Linked DNA regions of Notamacropus eugenii. The protein of the gene in region 1 interacts with the protein of each later gene in a pairwise test. Links are inferred from orthologs where the notes say so. Each region holds a gene or a part of one and is shown in the gene's direction. Other genes may lie near its edges. The genes, in order: ARR3, GNMT and ZNF496.

The links.
Region 2: the proteins of ARR3 (region 1) and GNMT interact in a two-hybrid assay, tested with the Homo sapiens proteins (2 studies listed by BioGRID and IntAct). The two-hybrid records come from large-scale screens. The link is inferred for Notamacropus eugenii from reciprocal best matches to the Homo sapiens genes ARR3 and GNMT.
Region 3: the proteins of ARR3 (region 1) and ZNF496 interact in binary tests that used the Homo sapiens proteins (3 or more experiments, as listed by UniProt). The two-hybrid records come from large-scale screens. The link is inferred for Notamacropus eugenii from reciprocal best matches to the Homo sapiens genes ARR3 and ZNF496.

The regions. Positions count from the first base shown.
Region 1 is NC_092879.1:100,599,137-100,606,084, reverse strand, and holds the start of ARR3 (arrestin-C), read left to right. Parts: upstream 1-3,946; 5' UTR 3,947-4,044; coding exon 4,045-4,061; intron 4,062-4,314; coding exon 4,315-4,345; intron 4,346-4,470; coding exon 4,471-4,531; intron 4,532-4,694; coding exon 4,695-4,739; intron 4,740-6,579; coding exon 6,580-6,779; intron 6,780-6,911; coding exon 6,912-6,948. UniProt on the Homo sapiens protein: May play a role in an as yet undefined retina-specific signal transduction. Could bind to photoactivated-phosphorylated red/green opsins.
Region 2 is NC_092873.1:105,860,063-105,867,006, forward strand, and holds the start of GNMT (glycine N-methyltransferase), read left to right. Parts: upstream 1-3,854; 5' UTR 3,855-3,898; coding exon 3,899-4,104; intron 4,105-4,911; coding exon 4,912-5,039; intron 5,040-6,944. Other genes in the region: CNPY3 (protein canopy homolog 3), read left to right, coding at 403-620. UniProt on the Homo sapiens protein: Catalyzes the methylation of glycine by using S-adenosylmethionine (AdoMet) to form N-methylglycine (sarcosine) with the concomitant production of S-adenosylhomocysteine (AdoHcy), a reaction regulated by the binding of 5-methyltetrahydrofolate.
Region 3 is NC_092873.1:74,849,464-74,856,732, forward strand, and holds the start of ZNF496 (zinc finger protein 496), read left to right. Parts: upstream 1-4,214; 5' UTR 4,215-4,303; intron 4,304-4,354; exon of another isoform or gene 4,355-4,441; intron 4,442-6,686; exon of another isoform or gene 6,687-7,269. UniProt on the Homo sapiens protein: DNA-binding transcription factor that can both act as an activator and a repressor.

The DNA.
Region 1 (6,948 bases):
GCTTCTTGGCCAGCTTCGGTTAAGGCAGGACTAGGAGAGGAGAGCAGGGTATCTGGGACCTGGGAAAGAGAAGACCCTGGCGAGGCAGGGTGCAAGAGCCTTGCCACTGAGCACATTGGTGGTAGAAAGACCCAGAAAGACCTGCATGAAATAACGCAGAGGGAAATGAGCAGAATCAAGAGAACATCATATACAGTAACAGAGAGACTGTTCAAAGAGTAACCGGGAACGGCTGAGCCGTCCTGAGTAATGGGATCATCCAAACAGTTATGAAGGACTGGCGAAGGAAAATGCCATGCACCTCCAGAGAAAGAACTGACGGATAGAAGGATGTATTGTATGGTTCTGTGTGTGTGTGTACATGTGTGTATGTATATGTGTATATGTGTTTGTGTGTCTGTATTGTGTATGTATCTGTGTCTGTCTGTACATATATGTATATGTGTATGTCTGTGTATGTCTGTATATGTCTGTGTGTATGTAGACCTGTGTCAAATGTTGGCCTTCTTTAACTCAGGTTAGGGACAAAGGGATGGAGACAGCTCAGAACTCAAAATGTAACAAAAAAAGAAATTCTAAAAAATGAAAAGGACAAAAATAAGAGCCCTGCTCCCAGCTGGGTGAGCCCTGCCTGCCCACACCAACCATCAGGAAAAGCAGGTTAAGGTTGGCTCCGAGGTAGATCAGAGATCATCTTCTGCCTGTGGGCAGGGCTGGTGAGGGCAGCTAAGCAGACTGGAGGGCCAAGAATAAACCCCAGCGTCAATCTCTGTCTCTATCAGGCAAAGCACTAGAGCTGCTTAGGATCACTTACATTGGCTTAGCTTGGCCCCTAGAGACTGGCAGATGGAGAAGGAGGCTGCAAGCCAAGGGCTGATGCTGAAGGCACCATGCTCCAACTGGTACCTTCTGGTCTCCTAGCCCCTGACCTGTGAATCCCAGGTATTACCTGCCCCCGAGAGTGAAAGTTCAGGCTCCCCTCCTCATCCTTACTCCTTATATCTCTCCCTGTCTCTCTGTCTCTGTCTATCTGTCTGTCTGTCTGTCTCTCTCTCTCTCTCTCTCTCTCTCTCTCTCACACACACACACACACACACACACGCATATTATTACATGCAAACATGTACATATGCAGACCTTAGAAGGATATACATTTGCAAACATCCCAATCTATCCTTTAAAAAAGTTCTCCCCTTGCCTCTGCCATCCCTCCAACTGTGCTCCCATATTTCACCATCCTTGCACTTCCAAAGTCCTCGGGGAAAACCCCCAGACTCCTTCATTCATTGTCTAGTCCTTCCCAGATTCCTTGCAGTTTGGCCTCCAGCTCTCCTACTCTCTTAAAATGACCTTGTCATTATTATTTCCTTCTTAGCCCTCCTTGAGCTTCTGGGACATTGCTCTCTCTTGGTCTTCCTCCTCCAACTTGTCTGATTCCTCAGTTTCCCTTGCTGGATCTGTCTTCTGCTCCCAAGCATGAGTGTCCTCTAAGGTTCCATCTTGGACCCTCTTCTCTTTTCAATTTAGGGCCTCAGTCAATCAATCAATCAGCTGACTGACTGAAAGCTTACACAGTGATCCGTACACATGCATGTAAATGGCCATCTATCCAGACATGCACCTCACTTGGGCTTTACAACACTGCTGGGACTAGTAACTTGCTTTTAGATATGAGAAAGTAGAGGTTGTGAGAAATGAAGAGGCTTGCCTGAGACCTAGAAAGGACCTTGCTTGGGCCTTGTGACTCCCAGGCCAACTATCTTTCTACATTGCCACACGTAGCATCACTCACATCACCTAGATCACAGCCAGCGTGTCCTCGAGGTCCCAGTGAGCCTGGTTGCCAGTCTCAGGGACCACACTCCCTCTCCCACCCAGTCTGACATGGTGGAATATTCCAGAAGAAGTGGGAAAGAGCATTTCCAGGACAGGACGCTGGGGAGGTCTGCCACAGTCTCCCTGTCCAACCTCCTGCTACTAGGAGCTAATCTCTTAGCTCATAATCTGCTTTCCAAACTCTTATTTCTTGAGCTATTAGGGGCTATGCTATTTCTCTTCCCCTCCCACCCCAAAGTTAATCAGGCTGAGCCCCCTCTGCCCCAAGGACCTGGGCTATAAAAGGGCTATGGTCAAGAGCACTGCAAGCAGAGCAGGAGGCTGGGCTGCCTTTCATATTTCTCTCCAGGTAACATTTCCTGCCCCTCCGGTTCCATCTCATGCTCCCTCTGTCCATCCATGTCTGCCAATCCTACATCAGCAGGGGATGTTTGGGAGGGGAAATTGCCCCTCCTCCAGCTGAGCCAGCTGCCACCCAGGTCTGAGAGTCTGGGAGCTGTCTAGGCCTAGGCCCCTCAACCCCAGCCTGGCATAACCCTCCACAGCCTGACCTCCATTCCCAGAGGATGGCATAGAAAGAGCCCTGGGGCCCAACAGGCATCACTCATGGTGTTGGTGATGTTTCTAGTCATGAGGCGATGGGACTGTGGGCTAGAAGGCAGGCACTGGGATGAGAATATGAGGAGATCGGATTGGGGAGGACAGTGGTGGGGAGGGAGAAGAGATCTGAGTCAAAGGGAGGTTCCTGGCCCTTGTTCCCACTTCTTTTACTCCCACTTAAGAACCTGATACCTTCTGCCTCCAATAAGTGAGGTCCCTTAGAGAGGGAACATCAGAAAGGGGGATGGACAACAGACTTTGTAGCAGAGGAGTTGAGTATAAATCTAGACTTTGCTTTATCTTGTGTCTTTGTGACCTTGGAAATATCACTCCCCCTTTCTAGGCCTCTGCTTCCTTCTTCTTCTAAACAAACAGGTTGGAATCACTAACCTCTCAGGGCCCTTTCTGCTTTAAGTCTGTGAGACCATGATCTTTCCTGCTCATTAAACTTCCTCAGTAGCCAAAAGATGCTTGCAGCCTTTGTGAGGAGGCTTGAGGGCACATGGTCTAGCCCTCCAGGGACAGAAGGATGCACAGAGGCAAGCCCAGGAGACAGGTCTCACTCAGAGCGCTTGGATCTGGAGACCTCAATAAGCTGAGAACAGTATGCCCTAGTTCCCCGTACTTCTGCCTCTATTGCCTTGAAAGTGTCTTCTCCTTCTGACCAGAGCCACAGCCCTGCTTCTCTCTCCCTGTCCCCAGTCCCTGAACACAGAGATGTGGACAGTCTGGCTGTCAGATCACTTCCTTAGCTTAGCAGAGCAGCCCCCAGCCCCCAAAGCTCAGGACTGTGCCAGCTTTGACTCCCCTCTCCCCTCTCTTCTCTCTCTGCTCCTAACCAATTCTGCCTGCTTCCTCTCCTTCTCACTTCCCTTCTCCCATAGACACCAGGGTCTCCCTTTTAGCATATATGCTGTGGCTAAACCTGGGAAGCACCCCGCCCAGTCTAAGTCTTCTGGATGGAGTCTTTCCTATCCCTTCAGAGCTGACAATTAGGGAATTCCAACGCATTAGTACAGCCAGTCTCCAAAAATATGCAGCAAGCCTATTCAAGAAAAAAATGCACGTATATTTTTCCTGAATTGAATATTCCATTGTGTATATGTAAATGTACACACATATATATGTTCTTTGTACATATGTACATATACATATGCATTTATATGCATATATAAAATAGGACAGGGAAGTATGAGGGAGAACGTGTGCGTGTGTGTGCGTGTGTGTGTGTGAGGGGTGAGGAAGGGCCTGTGACAGCTGGGAGGGAGAGGGGTTACAGAGCAAGGAAACCAATCTCTTGTGGCACCAGGTGGTAAACTATCTACCATCCTCCCCCCAACTGAAAGTCCTCCTGGGGGCTCAGGAGCTGGCAAAGGGGAGAGGTGCCAGGGAACCAACTTGCCGAAGCCTCCTCTCTCTGAGGGTCGTGGGTGTTGGTATTGGAAGGGACCTCGGAGATCCTCCCATCTAGCCCCTTCATTTTATAGCTCAGGAAACTGAGGCCCAGAGAGGAGTGATTTGCCCAAGGTTACCCAGGAGGTCACAGATACCAAGTCCCACGTCAAGACTTTCAGCTCCCAACCCAAGGAGTGCTCCCAAACTGAGTCCATGGCCACCAGCTCCAAGTAAGACACCCTTTCTACTCCCTGTGATTCCCTGAGCACCCCATGCTCCATACCCCCCAGTCTTCACTATCTCCCCAACAGTGCTTGCTGTGAGCATAGGGGGATAGCTCCCAGCCTTCCCACCCTCACCCCATGCCTTGCCCTCTCATTCCCAGCTATGTTCTCACCACCATTTCCTCCCTAATTCCAGCAACAACCATTTCTTTCATACAAACCCTGCCTCCCCATAACTATTTTGTCTCCTACTCTTCAGGGTGTTTAAGAAGACCTGCCTCAATAGGAGGGTGAGAGGCTCCAGGCCAGCGGGAGGGAGGTCAACGTGCATCATTGAGCAATCTCAGGGAGGTTTGAGCAGAGGGATCATGGTGTGTGATTTGGAGAATTACAGGAGGGGCTTTTTTTCCAACAGCTTTCCATCTACCTAGGGAAACGAGACTTTGTGGACCATATAGACTCAGTGGAACCCATTGGTCAGTGACCTCCAGATGGCCAGAGATCTTGACATCAATAGGGTGGAGGGGAGGGATCCTGAAATAAAGGCATGAAATAAAGAAGGAAGCAAATGGGGGGGGGGGGTGCAGGAGATCCCTTCCAGGGGCACCTCTCCTCAAGCCTTCTCATCCACTTCCACAGATGGTGTTGTCCTGATTGACCCTGAGTACTTGAAAGATCGAAAAGGTAATGGGGCATATGTGTGTGTGTGTGTGTGTGTGTGTGTGTGTGTGTACATGTAAGAGAGAAAGAGAGAGACACAGATACAGAGAGAGAGAAAGAGGCAGAGAGCCAGAGACAGACAGAGACAGAGAGAAACAGAGACAGAGAGATGGAGAGAGACAGAAACAGAGACAGACAGAGAGACAAACACAGAGACAAAGATAGAAAGCCAGACAGAGAGAGCCCACCTATGCTCTGTGTATGTGTCTTTCTATCTTTCTTGAGTCTGTATCTTTCGAGTCTGGGATGGGGAAACTACGCTGTTCTTCTCCAGGTCCTAAAGTAATTAGGTAGAAAGAGAAAATGTCCCGATGCCATTACAGAGTCTCACCCCGCCAACCAATGTCAGTAACCCATCCCAAGTAGAAGAGATCCAGTCACTAAGAGAAGAGGAGGAGCTGGGGGTCCCAGAGCAATTCAGGAATCAAGATAAGAAAGGCCCACAAGCCCCCAAGCCCAGGCACTTAACCTCATGGATGAGGCAGCTAAAGAAATGACACGGACAGATCAGTACTAAGAATTGCAATTAGGGGCTTTCCCCTGGGGGGGGGGGTGTTTTTGGGTTCCTATATTAACCCTCCTAAATGGACTCGATTTGGAAAATCACTCATGAGTTAAAAGCTGGTTTTAAATGAAGCTTTTAGCCACAGTAAGCTGAGGCAGCTCAAGTGTCTCTGAGAGGTCAGAGAGAGCCTAGTGTTCTGGGGGTCAGGAGCCTGGACTTCTGAGCCTCTGCTCTGCCCTTGCTAGGCCTCTCTGTGTTACCTCCATTCCATCCTCTGTAAAATGAGGGGATTGGCTTCAAAGGCCTCTGACAATCGGAGAGCTTTGACACATCAAACACGCTTGTAAGCTAAATGAGTTTCCCAAGTTGAAAAGCTCAAAGCCTTCAGAATGATCCTCCCAGAATGAACATTTCTTTGGAAAATAAACTTTCAAGCTTGAAAAAAAGAAGTGGACAAGTTGTTTTGAAGGCAGAAAGGAAAGTTTCACTACCAAACAATAAGCATTTCCAAGGACGGTGACACCTTCTGACCAGGGCTCCTGTGCACCCTAACGTCATCTTTGTTGCGTTTGACTCTTGGTGACCCCACTTGGGGTTTTCTTGGCAAAGATACTGGAAGGGTTTGCCGCTTCCTTCTCTAGTTCATTTTAAAGATGAGGAAGCTGAGGCAAACAGGGGGAAGTGACCTGCCCCGGGTCACATGGCTATTAAGTGTCTGGAGCCAGATTTGAATTCAGGTCATCCTGACTCTGGGCCCTGTGCTCTATCGCACCACTTAGTTACCCTTGCTGTTCATCTCCCCACCCCCCAGTCTATTGAGGCTCCCTCTTGTCTGTCCTCCTTTCTGCCCCTCCTTCACTTGGGCTCTATTCTTACATTCACTCAGTCATTTGATAAGCACGTATTGCACACTGACTAAAATAAAGCACCAGGCACTGTCCTAGGTGCTGGAGCTACAAAGACAAAAATCCTGAAGTCCCTGTCTTCAGGGAGCTTACAGGCCAGCAGAAGGATGAGGCCTCAGCAGTATACTGTCACACCACCAAGGACCTGGGATTTTGTTGGTTTGGAAGCTCCCTCTACCAGTACTTACCTAAAACAGAGTCACAGAGAGTTACCTGAAGCCCAAAGAGATTAGCTAGTGAGTATAAGAAGCAGGATATGAGCCCATTGAGCCCTGCCTCCAATCCAACCCTCTGCCATGCTACCTTTGGATTGCATCTGTGGGGCTTATTCAGGGCCCTGTTCAGGGCCAGCCCATCCCAGCCCCCATGTCAGTACCTCCTCATTTCCCCGCAGTCTTTGTGGTGCTGACTTGTGCCTTCCGTTATGGCCGGGATGATCTGGACGTGATCGGTCTGACATTCCGAAAAGACCTCTATGTGCAGGCCCTGCAAGTTTTCCCCAAAGAGCCCACCCAAGCCCCATTGCCCCTCACAAGCCTTCAAGAATGCCTGCTGCAAAAGCTGGGTGACAGTGCCCATCCCTTTACCTTCCAGGTGAGCCCCAAGCCCTGGAGGACAGAACTGGGCATTGGGGGGGGGGGGAGCACAGAGAGTAGGGGAAGTAGGAGAAAGGCCCTGACCTTCCTGTCTGCTGACCTCCTTCTGATATCCCCCTCCCTTTGACAGCTGCCCACCAATCTGCCTTGTTCAGTGACCCTGCAGC
Region 2 (6,944 bases), on another chromosome or scaffold:
GAGGGAACACATTGGTCCCGGGCACGAGGTTGGTAGCATGATGAGGATCAGGCTTTTGAATCACGTTCTCAAATCACAGTTGATCAGAATGCTTTAAATCATGGAAGTATTGTTTTCCCCATTTTATACATAAAGAAACTGAGGCTTAGATTAAGTAAATTGCCCAGTGTCACATAGCCAACAAACACTGGAGCTGGGATTCGAATCCACTTCTCATTTGAGATGCATGCTTCCTGAATGAATACAAAGCCATCCCTTGTATCCCTGGCATGCTGCCTTTCCTAAGCCTTAGTACACTAGGCCTCAGCCAGCAGCTGATGCCCATCAGGTACTTGGCAGATGAACTCTCCTGGTCCTTGTTGGTCGTCTGAGCACCCTGTCCCTTCCCCTCTCCCTCACCAGGTTGCCTGACTGAACAATGGATCGGCAAGAAAGGGGACACAGCAGCCCTCGGAGGGAAGAAGGCCAAGAAAAAGGGGGGCAAAGGCAAGGCGTCCAGCAAGAAGAGCGGCAAGCAAAGGAAGGATCCCAGAAACTTAGATGAGGACCCTCATCCTGAGGAGGACGAGGGTGTCCAGAAACCCTCCCCTCTCACACACAGCCCCACCGATGAACTGTAGAATCTAACCGAGCGCCCCAGCTGCTGTCCCAGGGGTGCAGAGGGAAGCCCCTGGCTGAGGGACACTCTGCTTTCTCTTGTGCCTCCAGCAGACAAGGGTGGACTCCCCAGTTCTGGGGGTTCACTGCACCCCCTGCTGTGCCCTTGTCTCGCTGAGGACTACAGAACTTGCCCTTCCTTTTCCTTTCCAGGCAGCCGCTTTGCCCCTGGGCTTGGAAGAAGAGCTGTGTGATGGCCCCAGAGCTAAAAACTGCATTATAAACCTTCGAGGGATGGGTCTGAGCATTGCTGAGCCCTCAGGGAGGACTCCATCCCTCATTGTCCCATGGGTGCACCCCCTCCTTCTTCCAGAAACACCTCTCTCCTGGCCCCAGCCCCACCAGGAAGGCCTTCCTCACTCCAGTCCTGGTCTAGGCTGTCTTCCCCAGGGCTCTAGCCGCACCACCCCCCCCCAGCCATGTGACACCCAGTCTCTGCCCCTCTCCAACTCATTTTACTGCACAATGTGCAGAGTAAAAAATATTTGGCCTTTTTACTCAGTGTCCTAACCTCCCTTTATGTGCCTCTCAATTGGCTTTCCTCTCATTCTTCTACCCATAATTCATGGTTCTTGGCATAAGAATGGTGCAAAGGGGAGTGAACCCTTTTTGGCCCTTATTTCCCACTTATTCTGGGTAGTTCTCACAAGCTGATCTGGAAGAGCAAGAGCGAAGAGGGAATCCTGAGAGTGGTGGGGAGATTGTACATGGAGGGTGGGGAGGGGAAGGTAGAGAATGCTAGGAGTAGGCACAGGGGAGAGGGCTCTGTGGCCTCATTTTAACCTAGTTGGATGGAAGCTTTCCTCCTCCACCTTCAGCTTCACATCAGCCCCTACCCTGATGTAGCTGGGCCTTGAAAAGTGACTACAACAAGGACATTTTTAAACACCCCATTCTAGAGTAATAGTCGAAAAGACAGCTGCCTTTGTTCCCACTCGACTTCCTGGAGCCTTTTCCTTTTCTGCTCTAGAATCTGGTAGTCTTCCCAACCCCCTGGCAGCAGGCTCCTTTGTTCCTTTTTCTCCCTTCTGCCTGGTCACCTCCACCGGACATCCTTTATGAATTTGTTCACCCTAGTCCCTCCTCTGTGATGCCAGGTTTTATGTAACGTGTTTACTGCTCCCCTCTTCAGGGCTGCACCCTGCTATTGCACTTTGTTCCCTGCCCCTCCACTCCCCCCAGTTTTTTTCTGTTCCTTTAGAACGCACCATATAGGACTCTCCTCCCCCACCCCAGCCAACACCTGCGCCTTACATGATGCCCTCTGAAGTTAGGGGAGGTGAAGGGGCCCTTTTTGTCCCTCCCCTGCTAGTCCTGAAGTCAAGACCAGGAGCAGCCAGACCCAGGGCCTCCAACACCTGGCACTAATGGTGCAGGGCACAGTTGTGGAACTGGTTTGATTTGTTCTCCCACACCTCCTCTTTAAAAAGGTAGCAGCCATCATCTAGGATGAGGAATACTGAAGGACTTGCCATCGTTGCCTCCTCAAATTTAGAACTGAAAATGACCCTACTTTGTCCTGTCACCATCCAGCCCAAGTCCAGGCCCACTGGCCAACAAATGGGCATTACTGAGAGGCCTCTGGCTATGATGGAGTGCCTTTGTGAACTCAGAAGTCCCAGCATCTAGCCAGTCTTCCCCCCACTCTGAGGAGTTAAGGCAGCCTTGGCCTGGAGAATTGCAAGCTTCTTGTCTTCTCTGGCCTGGACATTTCTCCTGCCACAGATTGTAGAAAAGCAGAACCTGGCCCTTAGAGATTACTTCTACCAGGGCCCTGCTGCCACTCCCCTAATATCCTAGATGAGGTGGGACCCAAGTGAACCTTTTTCTAAAGTCACCAGAACTGGCCCAGTTTCCCCATGGGTATGGAGTTTCCCTCTTCTGGACCTCGATACCCGGGCCTGACACTCGGAACAAAACTGAAGGTGAAGTAGGGAAGGGACTGAGGCTGGGCATAATGTAAGCAGGTCACATCCTTGACCCCTCAATCTGTTTCTCTTGCCAACATCTGATAACTTTCAAAGTTTTCACTAGAAAAGACTGTTCTATGCAAAAGCTAGAGAGAGAGAGAGAGCCCATCCCTCTATATGCAGAATTTATTTCATTGATTTCTTAGGCAGAGGTTTGGCCTCTTTCTGGGGTGGCAGCCAGGCTGCCCAATCCTGTGTAGTAGCAGAGAATTTGACTCCAGTATGACCCTGACCTTTCCCCTCAACAACTAGACTATCACTGTTCCTTTGGTGTTTAAGCAGCCAGGAGCCCTTCCTCCTCTCCCATGTTCGTAACATGTTCTCTGACCTCTGCCCTGCCTCCCCTCCACATCCTGGGATCTTTGGAGAACCTGGTAACACAATAGTTCTGTGTGTTGCAAGCCCTGCCACCCTTGCCCTCTAAACATTTAAGCTCCATTTCCCCTGCCTACTCCCACCTAGTTCTGTATCTTCCACCAGATTTAAAAAAAAAAAAAAATGATGCTGAAGCCAGTTCTGCTCACTTCAAGTCCAATGTTCTAAAGCTGATATGCTGGTTCCATGCCAACCCCTCCCCCCATCTAGAGCCCACTCACCTCTATAGACCCTACTGCCTTGGACCAGTTCACCAGAAGAAGCCCTGGAGAAGCTAGGAGCTGGCTTGCTGTGTTAGACATATAAGAAATTGGGCTAATTGCTTTGAATAATAACTACCTCCAAGTATGGGGGTACATGGAGAGGAAGAGTTGTAAGATGAATTGGAGATAAGATATTATGACCTGACCTAACTCTGATTCATTAATCCATCTACCCACCCCCCAATTCTTCATCTGTTGTTCCTACTTCATGCCTGATGCCTATGTGGACAAAGACATGGTTACCCCCTGACACACACAGCTTGATCCCTTCTAGCTGAGGTCTTGGAGAGTTAACTAGTTTGCCTTTCCTGCCATCCTTGGTTCCCAGAATCCCTGGGTGTGTTCTGTTTCTCTTTCCCTTGGATACCTGGGATCGAGTTGGAGGGGAGATCTCCCACATGACATGCCCCTCTCTTGCTAGCAGTTAGGGAGGAGGGATAGAAAGAAGTAAGGCCATTCACAGGGTCTGGGAGATCAGGAACAGCTGGTTCCTGGCTCTGGGAGAAGACCAGATGGGGGCGTGTCCTGGATCTCACCTGCCATTGGACAGGTGAGGCAGGCAGGGCAGAAAGAGCCAGGGCAGCCTTATAAGAACTTTGGCAGGTGGCTGAGGGGCCAGGTGGAACTGAGAGGATGGCAGACAGTGTGTACCGGACTCGCTCCCTGGGAGTGGCAGCTGAGGGACTTCCGGACCAGTTTGCTGATGGGGAGGCAGCCCGGGTCTGGCAGCTATACATAGGTGACACCCGAAGCCGTACAGCAGAATACAAGGCCTGGCTCCTGGGGCTGCTGCGTCAACACAGCTGCCAGCATGTCCTTGATGTGGCTTGTGGCACTGGGTAAAGCTGGGGCAAGGACAGCACAGGAGGTAGGGGTGGACACCAGGGTCAAAAAGGTTTGGAGGACAGGCGAGACCAGAATGCTCCTGAGGCAGAAGGGAGCTAGGTGGAAAAAATCCTGCCCTGGTAGAAAGTCATCAGAAATTGGGTAGATCTCTAACTGGAAGATACCTCTTTGGGAATGGCAACAGGGAAAACAGAGGGGATGGGAATGGCAAAAATGGACATGTATGTGAGATAGGCATGAGTTGTGGGGGTGCACATATAAGGGAAATGGGGTGAGCTGGAAGTAAGGGCATGGTGGAAAACAGACTAGGAAGGTGTTAAAGGATCTTTTTTTCAAAAGTAAAATGGACTGTCTCTGGTGGTTGTGAGAAAGGAAGTCACGAGTTCTTGAAATGTTGTCTGAGATGATCACTTGTTGGAGTTGCTATAGAGGGGAGTCATGCTTTGGCTGAGTTAAACTGGATGACTTCTGGGTTCCCTTCCAATTCTGAAGTTTTTTGATTCAGTGGGTAAAAAGTATGTTGTGGGGGGGGATCAATGTCAGGGGTAACTCACAAATGTTGGGTTCCTCCTTCTAGTCTTCTTAGTCCCCAGTTTCTCCCTTGACCCTCAGTTCCCATTCTAAAACTGTCCTTTCTATCCCTGTTCTTTCTAAAACCTGCTTTGTCTCCATCATTCCTCTCCCTCTACCCTTCTAATCCTCTCCCTCCAATCATTCTCCCCATCTTCTCTGGCTCATCTTTCCTTCCCTCTTCCTCTCCCCCCGTCCAATCCTGTCATTGCCTGCTGGGCCTGGCACAGGGTGGACTCCATCATGCTAGTGGAAGAGGGCTTCAAAGTGACCAGTGTGGACGCCAGTGACAAGATGCTCAAGTATGCCCTGAAAGAACGGTGGAACCGTCGTCACGAGGAGGCCTTTGACAAGTGGGGTATGTGGGATCTTGGCACAGGAACAGAGGGGCCATACAGAGAACCAGCATCCTCCACATACTGTCCTCCGAAGCACTCTGAGCTAAGTGTCAGAGGACCTGAATTCTAGTCCTGGTTCTGCCATGACTTGCTGTGTGATTTAGAACAAGTCACTTCTGTCTGGTCCTTAGTTTCTTCCTTGTAAAATGATAGTGTGGGAATGGGCAGAAAGATGGAGCAGCTAGGTGAGTGTGGTGGACTTAGTAAAGACTGGAGCTGGAATACTGCCCCAGGCTGTGACCCTGAATATCACCGAGGGCTGGGGAGCCTGCGACCTTGAGGCCACATAGGGTCCTCTAGCCCCTCAGGTGCGGCCCTTTGACTGAATCCAAATCCCCTTCATTAAAGGATTTGTTCTGTAAAACCTGGACTCTGTCAAAAGGCCACACCCGAGGACCTAGAAGGCCACGTGTGTCCTCGAGGCCGCAGGCTCCCCCTTTCTGTGCCTCCTTTCCTCCCTGTAAAATGAGAGGCTGAGACCTCACTGATGACCTCCAAGATCGCTGCCACCTCTAGCCCCAAAGTCTGTGATCAGATCTAACTTTCCTTCTAGCTCTTAACTCTGAGTCTGCAAGGAAGTATTTTTGGGTTCTTCTTGTTCTACCTTCTCTGCTCCTGATTCATGCCTTAATTTTGTAGCTTCCCTTCAGGGGCTCTTGTCTCTTAAGGACAGGGACCTAAGGGCTTAGTGTCTCCTTCCATGGTTGACTTCAAAGCCAAGCCTTCTTGAGGTGACACAGGGATCTGTCCCTTGTCCTTAGCCCTCAATTTTTCTCCAACCCTCTTCATTTTCCCTGAGGTTTGGGTCTCTAAAAGTTTTGCCTGTCTTCCTTGCTTTGGTGGCATGGGATTGGGCCATTCGCTTTTTAATCCTCCATCTGCCATTTACTCAGCTCTGACATTGAGACAAATCTCTCAATCTTCTTCAGCCTCAGTTTTCTCATTTGCCAAATGTCGCTATTAATCACTGCCTTGCATGTTGTGTAAGGTTGTTAGAGGGACTGAATGAGAAAACAATGATGTAGTAAGTGCTTTGGAAACTTGGAAGTGCTATTTCTAACTGGAAGATACCTCTTTGGGAATGGGAACAGGGAAAGAGGTATCATTCTTGTCGTTAGACCAGGTAAGGACTAAAGCCCAACAGGTCAGGACGCCACTCATGGGGCAAAGGACAGCTATCTGCTTCCTACAGATGTGACAACCTTATAAGAACCAGTAGGGAAGGTCCTGGGGTAGAGGAAACAACGAAGGGGATGGTGATTGTTTCCCTCTGTCCATGGCAAAGCAGCTCCCTCTGACTTCTCCCAAAGGAATAGACTTAAATAGCAAAGGGAAACAGGAGGTAGGGTCTGAGGATGGGAACCAAAGAGGTGACTCTGTAACTGCTCTTCCAGTTCTACTGGACCCTTTCCTTGCATGCTACTTGGATGGGCCAAGGGAGCTCAGCAGCCATAATCTCTGTCCTTTAGATCCCTCCTTACTGGCTCTGCCCTACCCCTACCCTCCCTGTGGGGGCCCTCTACTTTTACGTCCCTAAATCGCTACTTTAGTCCAGGAGTGCACTAACGTTTAGTAAGTTCTGGGAGCTTACACTCAACACCCTTTTTGGTTTAATCACAGCATTTTCTCCATCACTTTCCTAAGTCTAGACAATCAACAAAACTGTAAACCAAATCCATATTCCTGTCATTTGCCAATTTCTGTGGTGTGTTTATACTGAAAATTTAACAGTGAGAGTACCAATGCACCTATGCCTTACTCCTTTGGTGGGATCCACGTATATCCCCTCCTCTCCCCCCCTGCCCAAAAAGAAGCCCATGTGGCTGCTTGCCTCTTCAGGACTACAGCGGAAAGCCTGTTGTTCA
Region 3 (7,269 bases), on another chromosome or scaffold:
CCACTCCAGTCCCACTATGCCAAGTATCTAGGTCAGAGCACTGCTGGCTCCTGCTGCCAGAGGGCTCCCATCTGACCACATTGTGAACTTCCACAGAATTTAGGCTTTCCCCTCACAAGGTTGCAAGCCTCAGGTGCTTCTTCAGGTGTAGACTTTCAGCCTGTTTTCTGGGCTGATGCTGGCTTCCCTAGTGGAATCTCTCTCCCAGTGACCACAATTTCTGACTTTTTCTTCGATTTTGGTCTGGATGAAGGCATTTATTATCATTTCTCTTTGAACTTTTTGACCGTCATTTCATCTTGTGCCTTTTTACATTTTTGCTAGAGTACATGTGGGAAATGTAGACTGTTTAAATGACCTTTCATGTCACTCTTCTAACCATTAATCTTCCCTATAGATTTTAAACTTGTTAGTAACTGTTTATCCCAGTTCTAAGAAGATTTATCAGTAGAACTCAAGTTTTGCCTGTTCTACCAAGTTGGAAAGACCTACCTACAGTGATGAAAATCCAGGACTGAAGGGTCAATTTAGCTAAATTTATTAATGATTGGGCTTGGGTTTCTGTTCAGGTTAACGATGGACAGTAAGTTTTCTCACAGAGAAGTTAGCAAAGTAGAAAAACACTACCTCTTCTACGATGGTGAATCTGTTTCAAGAAAATTATTTTCTTAAAGTGCTAATAAAATAAGTATGATTTTATTGCTTGTCACCTTGAACCCATCCTGATGCTAACATCTCTATAAAGATGGACATCAGCATTGAAATTGTCTATATGTAGAATCTGAATATAATAAATCTTTAAAATATCATTCAAAAGATGTCATTATTGGAAAATAATTCTTATTAGAAAGAACAAAAATTGAGCATATGGAGTTATAGCCAATATAAGAGATCATTAGAATTAAGCCCAGCATTTAGGACCATAACTAAATATGAAATAATGGATAGGATACAAGCTAAAGGTGAACTGACTCTTTCCAGGAGGGTATGACCCAACTCTAACAATAAGATGTGAAGAAAAATTTCCAAGTAAGATACTTTTGCAACCTAGTCCTCATGAATGAGGAAGGCAAATGGTACTTCAAGCAGTAGGAGATCATTTTATAGAGAAGAGCTTCTGAGAAACTGAAGAGACAAGAGAAAAAAAAAAAACTTTCACCAGCAGAATCTCTAGAATCACAGGTGTATGTTAAGCAGCCTCAAATCTGAATTAAGCATGAGGGAAAACTGTAAAAGTTCAAAAAAGTCAAGATGGTTGCAACCTACAGGGGAAAAATAGGCCAAAATTTCATTTATAACTGTTACCCTTAATCTGATCCTGCTGTATTTATTTTGTTATACTACTAAATGTTCTTCAAAATATTTTTTCCCTGAAACATTGGAACTTCCTCAAATTGCCAGGGTGTTGTCTTTTTTTTTTTTTACTTCATACTTTGATTTGATGATAATATGCATTCAGATATGCATAAGCCTAAACAGTTAAATATTTCATCTGTGTAGGTTGATGTTTTGTAATTTCATATTCCTCCTATAGGATTATAGATCATAAAACTTCCTGCCCCCATCCATTTCCAGATCACTGATATTCTTTTCAAAACAAGACCTGTGTTTGGATGATATTAGAAAGTTCAAGTGGTTATGGTGTTATGTAAAAATTTACAACTAGGTATTCTATGCCTACACCTTTCACTGAGTATATTTTAGAAGTCTTGTATGCGTCTGAGAGGTTTATATATGATTCTTTTGTTCTAAGTCTCCCATTCCATAATGTTTTAAATTTATAGCTTCATTACAACCTTGCAAATTAAGGAAATACATAACGTAGTGGGTTGATCACAATTTTAGTTCCATTGTCTCTTTTTGCCATTCTTAGTCTACAGCCCTTCTGTAGATTTTCTACAGTGTTAATAATTTAAAATTGTGAATTTTCATATAAGATTTTTCCCCCTGTACTTTAAGGTATTTTACTTTTTAAGTATTAGGGAAATTTTAGATATGTGTGCAGAAAACACCAATTCTTAAATTCACAAACCTATTAACTGTTAGGATAAATGGACTCTGTGTCATCTCCGATTCATATCTTCTTAAAGATACTTGTGTTAAACTGTAGCTCTAAACAGTCACAACTCAGATTTCACAAGCTAACTTTTCTAGGAAATACATAGTGTCTGTCTTAATTTTGTTTATCACTGAATTTAAGTCCTCATTTGTTCAGATTCTTAAGAGAAGGTTGTACTTGTGAACATATGTTCACAAGTATGAGTTCAGTTCTTAGATGTATTATATATATGTACTTAATTATACATATGTACTATTATAACTATAACTATATATGTGTATACATGTGTGTGTATATATATATATACGTATATATATGTATATACGTATATATATATATATTTCTCATCTGATACACAGCAAAGTCACTTGCTCTTAAGGTTCATGAACCACCTAAGATAATTTTTTTGTAAACTTCAGTACAAGCCTTGTCAATTAACCTTATATTATGAATAAGCTAAATCATCTTGACTACATTTCTCTAAGAACTGTTTTCCTACTATGCCACTTTGACAAAAGTCAGTACTCAATTTTTCTTATTGGCAGACGATTCTATGTACTGTGGGTGTCTGGGAATGGAAACAGATTGATTTTTTTACCCTCATGTAAGGTGCCTGTTAAGAATTTTATTAAATGCCAAATACTTTCATGGTAAAGTCACATATTATAATCTAAAAACTGTATTTAAGAATTATGAGAACTGTATTTAACCAGCTTCAAGTTGTGCGACTGTGCATAATAAAGAATTTGAAACAGATAATGAGCTATTTGAATGATTAAAAACAGCAGTATCGTCAAAAAATTTTTTACTGAGACTCATGATCAAGCTGGTTACACAGCATAATGAATTTTTCTACTATTACAGTTCTATTACAATTGCCTAATAAATTCTAGTATAAGTCTAAGGAGGAGTATAACCCATTCCAATGAACTCACAGATCCTTTGCAAACCTTAAAGCAGATCTATATGTTAACTAATATTAGTCTTATCCTTGAATAGATACTCCAATTTATTTTGTTTCCCTTACGGCTTCAAGCACAGTATCATTCCACAAGTAATAGCTCAAGAAATGGTTTTTTTTTAGATAGAAATTCTATTTCTATTCTATTCGGTGTTTTAATAGAAAACAGAAAACAAATTAATTTTTAAAAAGAAATGTTTTTGAATAGTCTTTAAGATTTAAAAAAGCACCTTACTTCACACGAACAGTTAAGTAGATGCTGCAAGTATTATTATCTACAAAAGATCATTGAATTATTAGATTCAGAGCTGGAAAGGACCTCAGAATCTCCTGGTTCAAAGCCCTCATTTTACAGATGAGGAAACTGAGGCTTGAGAACGTTATATGACCTCCGAGGTCACACAGGGAGTAAACACCAAAGGCAGGATTTGAACCTATTTGAACCGACTACCGCCAGTACTCTTTCCAGTTTTCCAGATTAACCTGACCATGATCACACAGATAGAGTTGGAGGGATTCCCTGTAATCCAACGCTAACCACCACACTTCACTCCTGCTCAACCTTTGTGGTTAATGAATCCCTTGTCTGTGTGCAACATTGTATTCATTTCAGGAACGAATCTAAGGACTTTAAAGGACTGCGTCTGGTCTTCCTACAAAGTCCAGCCTTAATTGCATTGAGACATCTAATAGATGACTGTACTTTAGCGTCGCTGGAAATGAAGACGACACAGCAGAGAAGCTGCAACATTTCTGGAAGCAGTGAAATCAACATGCGTGCTCAGGGGGCGTGCTGCCCAAGCCCGGAGTGGCTGAGATCTACATGGTCTCCTCTGCAAACACCGGACATTCCAAAGACACCTCTTTGGCTTCTGAAGGCCCGGCGGTCCGTTCGCAGAAGGCCCGAGGGCAGCCCTCTCTCTTTTAAGAAGCCCTTCTAGATCAGCCTACGCTGTTCTTCAAGTCGAAGCATCCCAAAGCCGTAAGAAGACACTTCCGAACGGGTTTAAAAAGGGAAGCCTTCAGCCTATGGGATACATTCCTTTGGGTAACTTCCTTCTCCTCGCGGAGGAAACGGAGCCGGCCCAAGACCCGCGGCTGAGCTGCGCCACCTGCCGGCAGAGGTTTCTTGGGTCCGAACTTTTTCCCGTGTGACGTCACCGCCTGGAGCCAATCAGCAGTTCTCCTCTGGGCTCTCCCCAAGTCCTCGCCAAGCGAATGGAGATGAAGTGAAGAAGCCCGGAGACTGAGTGCAAAGATTCCGATCAGTCCTGAGGTGAAGGGTAAGAAAGAGCGAGAGGCCAACCGACTGTGTTTGCGGCGGGGGGAGGGGAGGGCGGTGCCGCCAGGAGAGCGGGCCGGACGAGGAGGGGGAGAGCGGGGCAGGCCCACGGCCGGACCCCAGCCGCCGCCACTCCGAGGTAAATGGAGGCCGGGCAGGCCCCGCCGTTTCGGGGGAGGCCGGGTTCCGGGCCGGAAGTAGCCGGGGCCCCGCCTCACATACTGTCATCCCGGGGGAAGCCTCGGCTCGTTTCCCGCCCCGGCCGGTGGCTGCCACTGTCGGGTCCTCTCCAAGCCGGCCCTCGACCCCGCTCGGTGGCCGCCGGCCCTGGGTACCCTCGGGTACCCGGAGGCTTCTCCCCACCAACGGAAAACCCGTCACTAGCCTTCTCCCGCTCCGCCTCGCGTTTCCCCTGCCTTCTGGGGGCCCCTTCCTTTACTGTGGTGCAGTGGCAGGATGGACAGTCGGACGGCCGAAAGCCCGACTCCCCCCTTAGGCCTGTGGCCTTAAACAGATTCCTTTTCGGTGGGCCTCTGTTTCATCACGTATAGAACGGCGTGTGTGGTGGGGGTGGATTTGCTCATCTCCAGTGGCCCTTCTGACTCAAAATTTTTACCCCGGTCTCTTTAACAGAACTAAGTTTTTGTGGTATTTACTGAAACTTAGCCTTCTCTTGTAAACATCAGGCGCCTTTATATGCTCTCCAAGGCTCACTCCTTTTTCCCTCGTAGAAGGATGAGTTGGCATGCTGATACTCTTTTAAACACTGGCTCACCCTTACCTAGCAACCATCTTTAACGGTCGATCAGTTAACCGGGATTTATTAAGTACCTTCTTTATGCCAGACACTACTTCTCTACAAATAAACCCCTCCCCCCCAAAAAAAGATCCCCCTGCCTTCAAGTAACTTATGTTGTATCGGGGAAAATAACAGGTATACATATAAATAAATACAAAATATCCAGAAAATAAACACTAATCATTTGCTGCTGTCTGTGGATACACAGATCACGTAAGTCGATTACCTGGCTCAAAATTTTCTATGAGCTTTGTTTCCTTGGCACAGTCTGACCTGGCTCCACAACCTTCGCAATGACTTCTTTCTCAAAAGGGTCATAGCTGAGACTCTTCTCACTACTTCAAATGATTCCTGATCATGACTCTGTCTTGGATGTTTGCTGAATTGCTGAGGACAGAAAGGAGACTTTTGGCCATGGATGATACTTGTTGCTTTACTGTGTTCGTCCTTCCTTGCAGAGGAAGACCATGCCATCGGAGAAATAATGACATGACTTGTACTTGACTTTGTTTTGAGTGAGAGAGGACTGTGTAGGTCACCAGCCTCACTTCTCCTCTCCTCCAGCCTCACCAGCAATCTGAATCCAGTGACCAGATATTCATCAGGATGACTGGAGATGACCCAGGATGAGGCAATTAGGATTAAGTGACTTGCCCAAGGTCACACAGCTAGTGAGTGTCAAGTGTCTGAGGTGAGAGTTTCTGAGGTGTTGCTTTACTAAGAGAAACGGGAAGAATGGGTCTCTTCAATCTTCTCCTGCATGCTCAGCCTACTACTTGGTGAATGAAGCAGTTTAGGAAACAGAACATGAAATAGATAGAACTGAATCAGGGTAACATGGAAAAAGTGCTAGATTGAGAATTTTGTTCCTCAGTGAAAGATCAAAAAATGTTAGGACTTAATCCAAATCTTTCCACTATGCAAGACTGCTTTTGTAATGCATTATAAAATTCCTTTTAAGATCTAACATGATATAATTAAATCTTCACTCTCTTCCACCAAGGGACCAGTTAGTTGTTGATAGTAGCCTAATTCAGACCTGTTTCTCCTTTTCATCTTTTCCCTTCCTACCCTTTCCCCATTTGCCTTCCTTTTCTTTCCCATTTCACCCCCCTTTCTTATTTTTGTTCTCTCATGCTTAAGATAACATGAGAAAAAATGTCTAAGAATTCAGTAATTATTATTTCTAAAACAAGGTTGCCTTGATTTTCTCAGTTTCCTCATTTCACATATGCAATCAGTTGCAAAATCTTGTTATTTCTATGTTAACGTCTTTCTCATAGGTCTCTTTTTCTCCAGTAACAGCTACTACCTTAATTCAGGGCCTTAATACCTATCATATTGCGACAAACTCTTATTTGGTCTCTCTGCCTCAAGTTTCTCCCAATCCCAATCCATCTTCCTGCCAAAGTGATTTTCCTCAAGTGAAGGTCTAACCTTGTTACTCATCCACTCAGTAAACTCCCAAACAGTGACTCTGATACCTCTAGGATCAAATATAAACATATAAAGCTGTATGGGGCAGCTAGGTGGTACAGTGGATAGAGTACCATTGCAGGAGTCAGGAGAACCTGACTTCAAATCTCACCTCAGACACTTGACACTCACTAGCTGTGTGACCTTGGGCAAGTCACTTAACCCAAAGTGACTCATCCTGGGTCATCCCCAGTCATCCTGATGAATATCTGGTACTGGATTCAGATAGCTCTGGAGGAGAAGTTAGGCTGGTGACTCTCCCTCACTCAAAACAAAGTCAAGCACAAGTCATGTTATTATTTCTCTGATGGCATGGTCTTCTTCGGCAACAACAAACACATATAAAGCTGTATATAACCTGGGCCTTTCCTACATTTCTAGTTTTATGCAGTATTCTCTTTTGCCTAATAATTGTTCAGCATTTCTGGAATGCTTTCCCTCCTACCTCTCAGGATCTCTAATTTGCTTCCAAATCAAATTCAATCAACACCTTTTATACAGTGTTTCTTGATCCCCAAAAATGCTAATGCTCTGCCTCCCCAAATTACTTTATGTTCATCTAGTATATATAGTTTTATATTCTTACATGTACATATTCGCTCCCCCAAACGGAACTCAACTCCTTGAGGGCAGAAACTGTTTAACTTTTGTCTCTGTATCCCCGGAGCTTAGCACTGTGCCTGGAACATAGT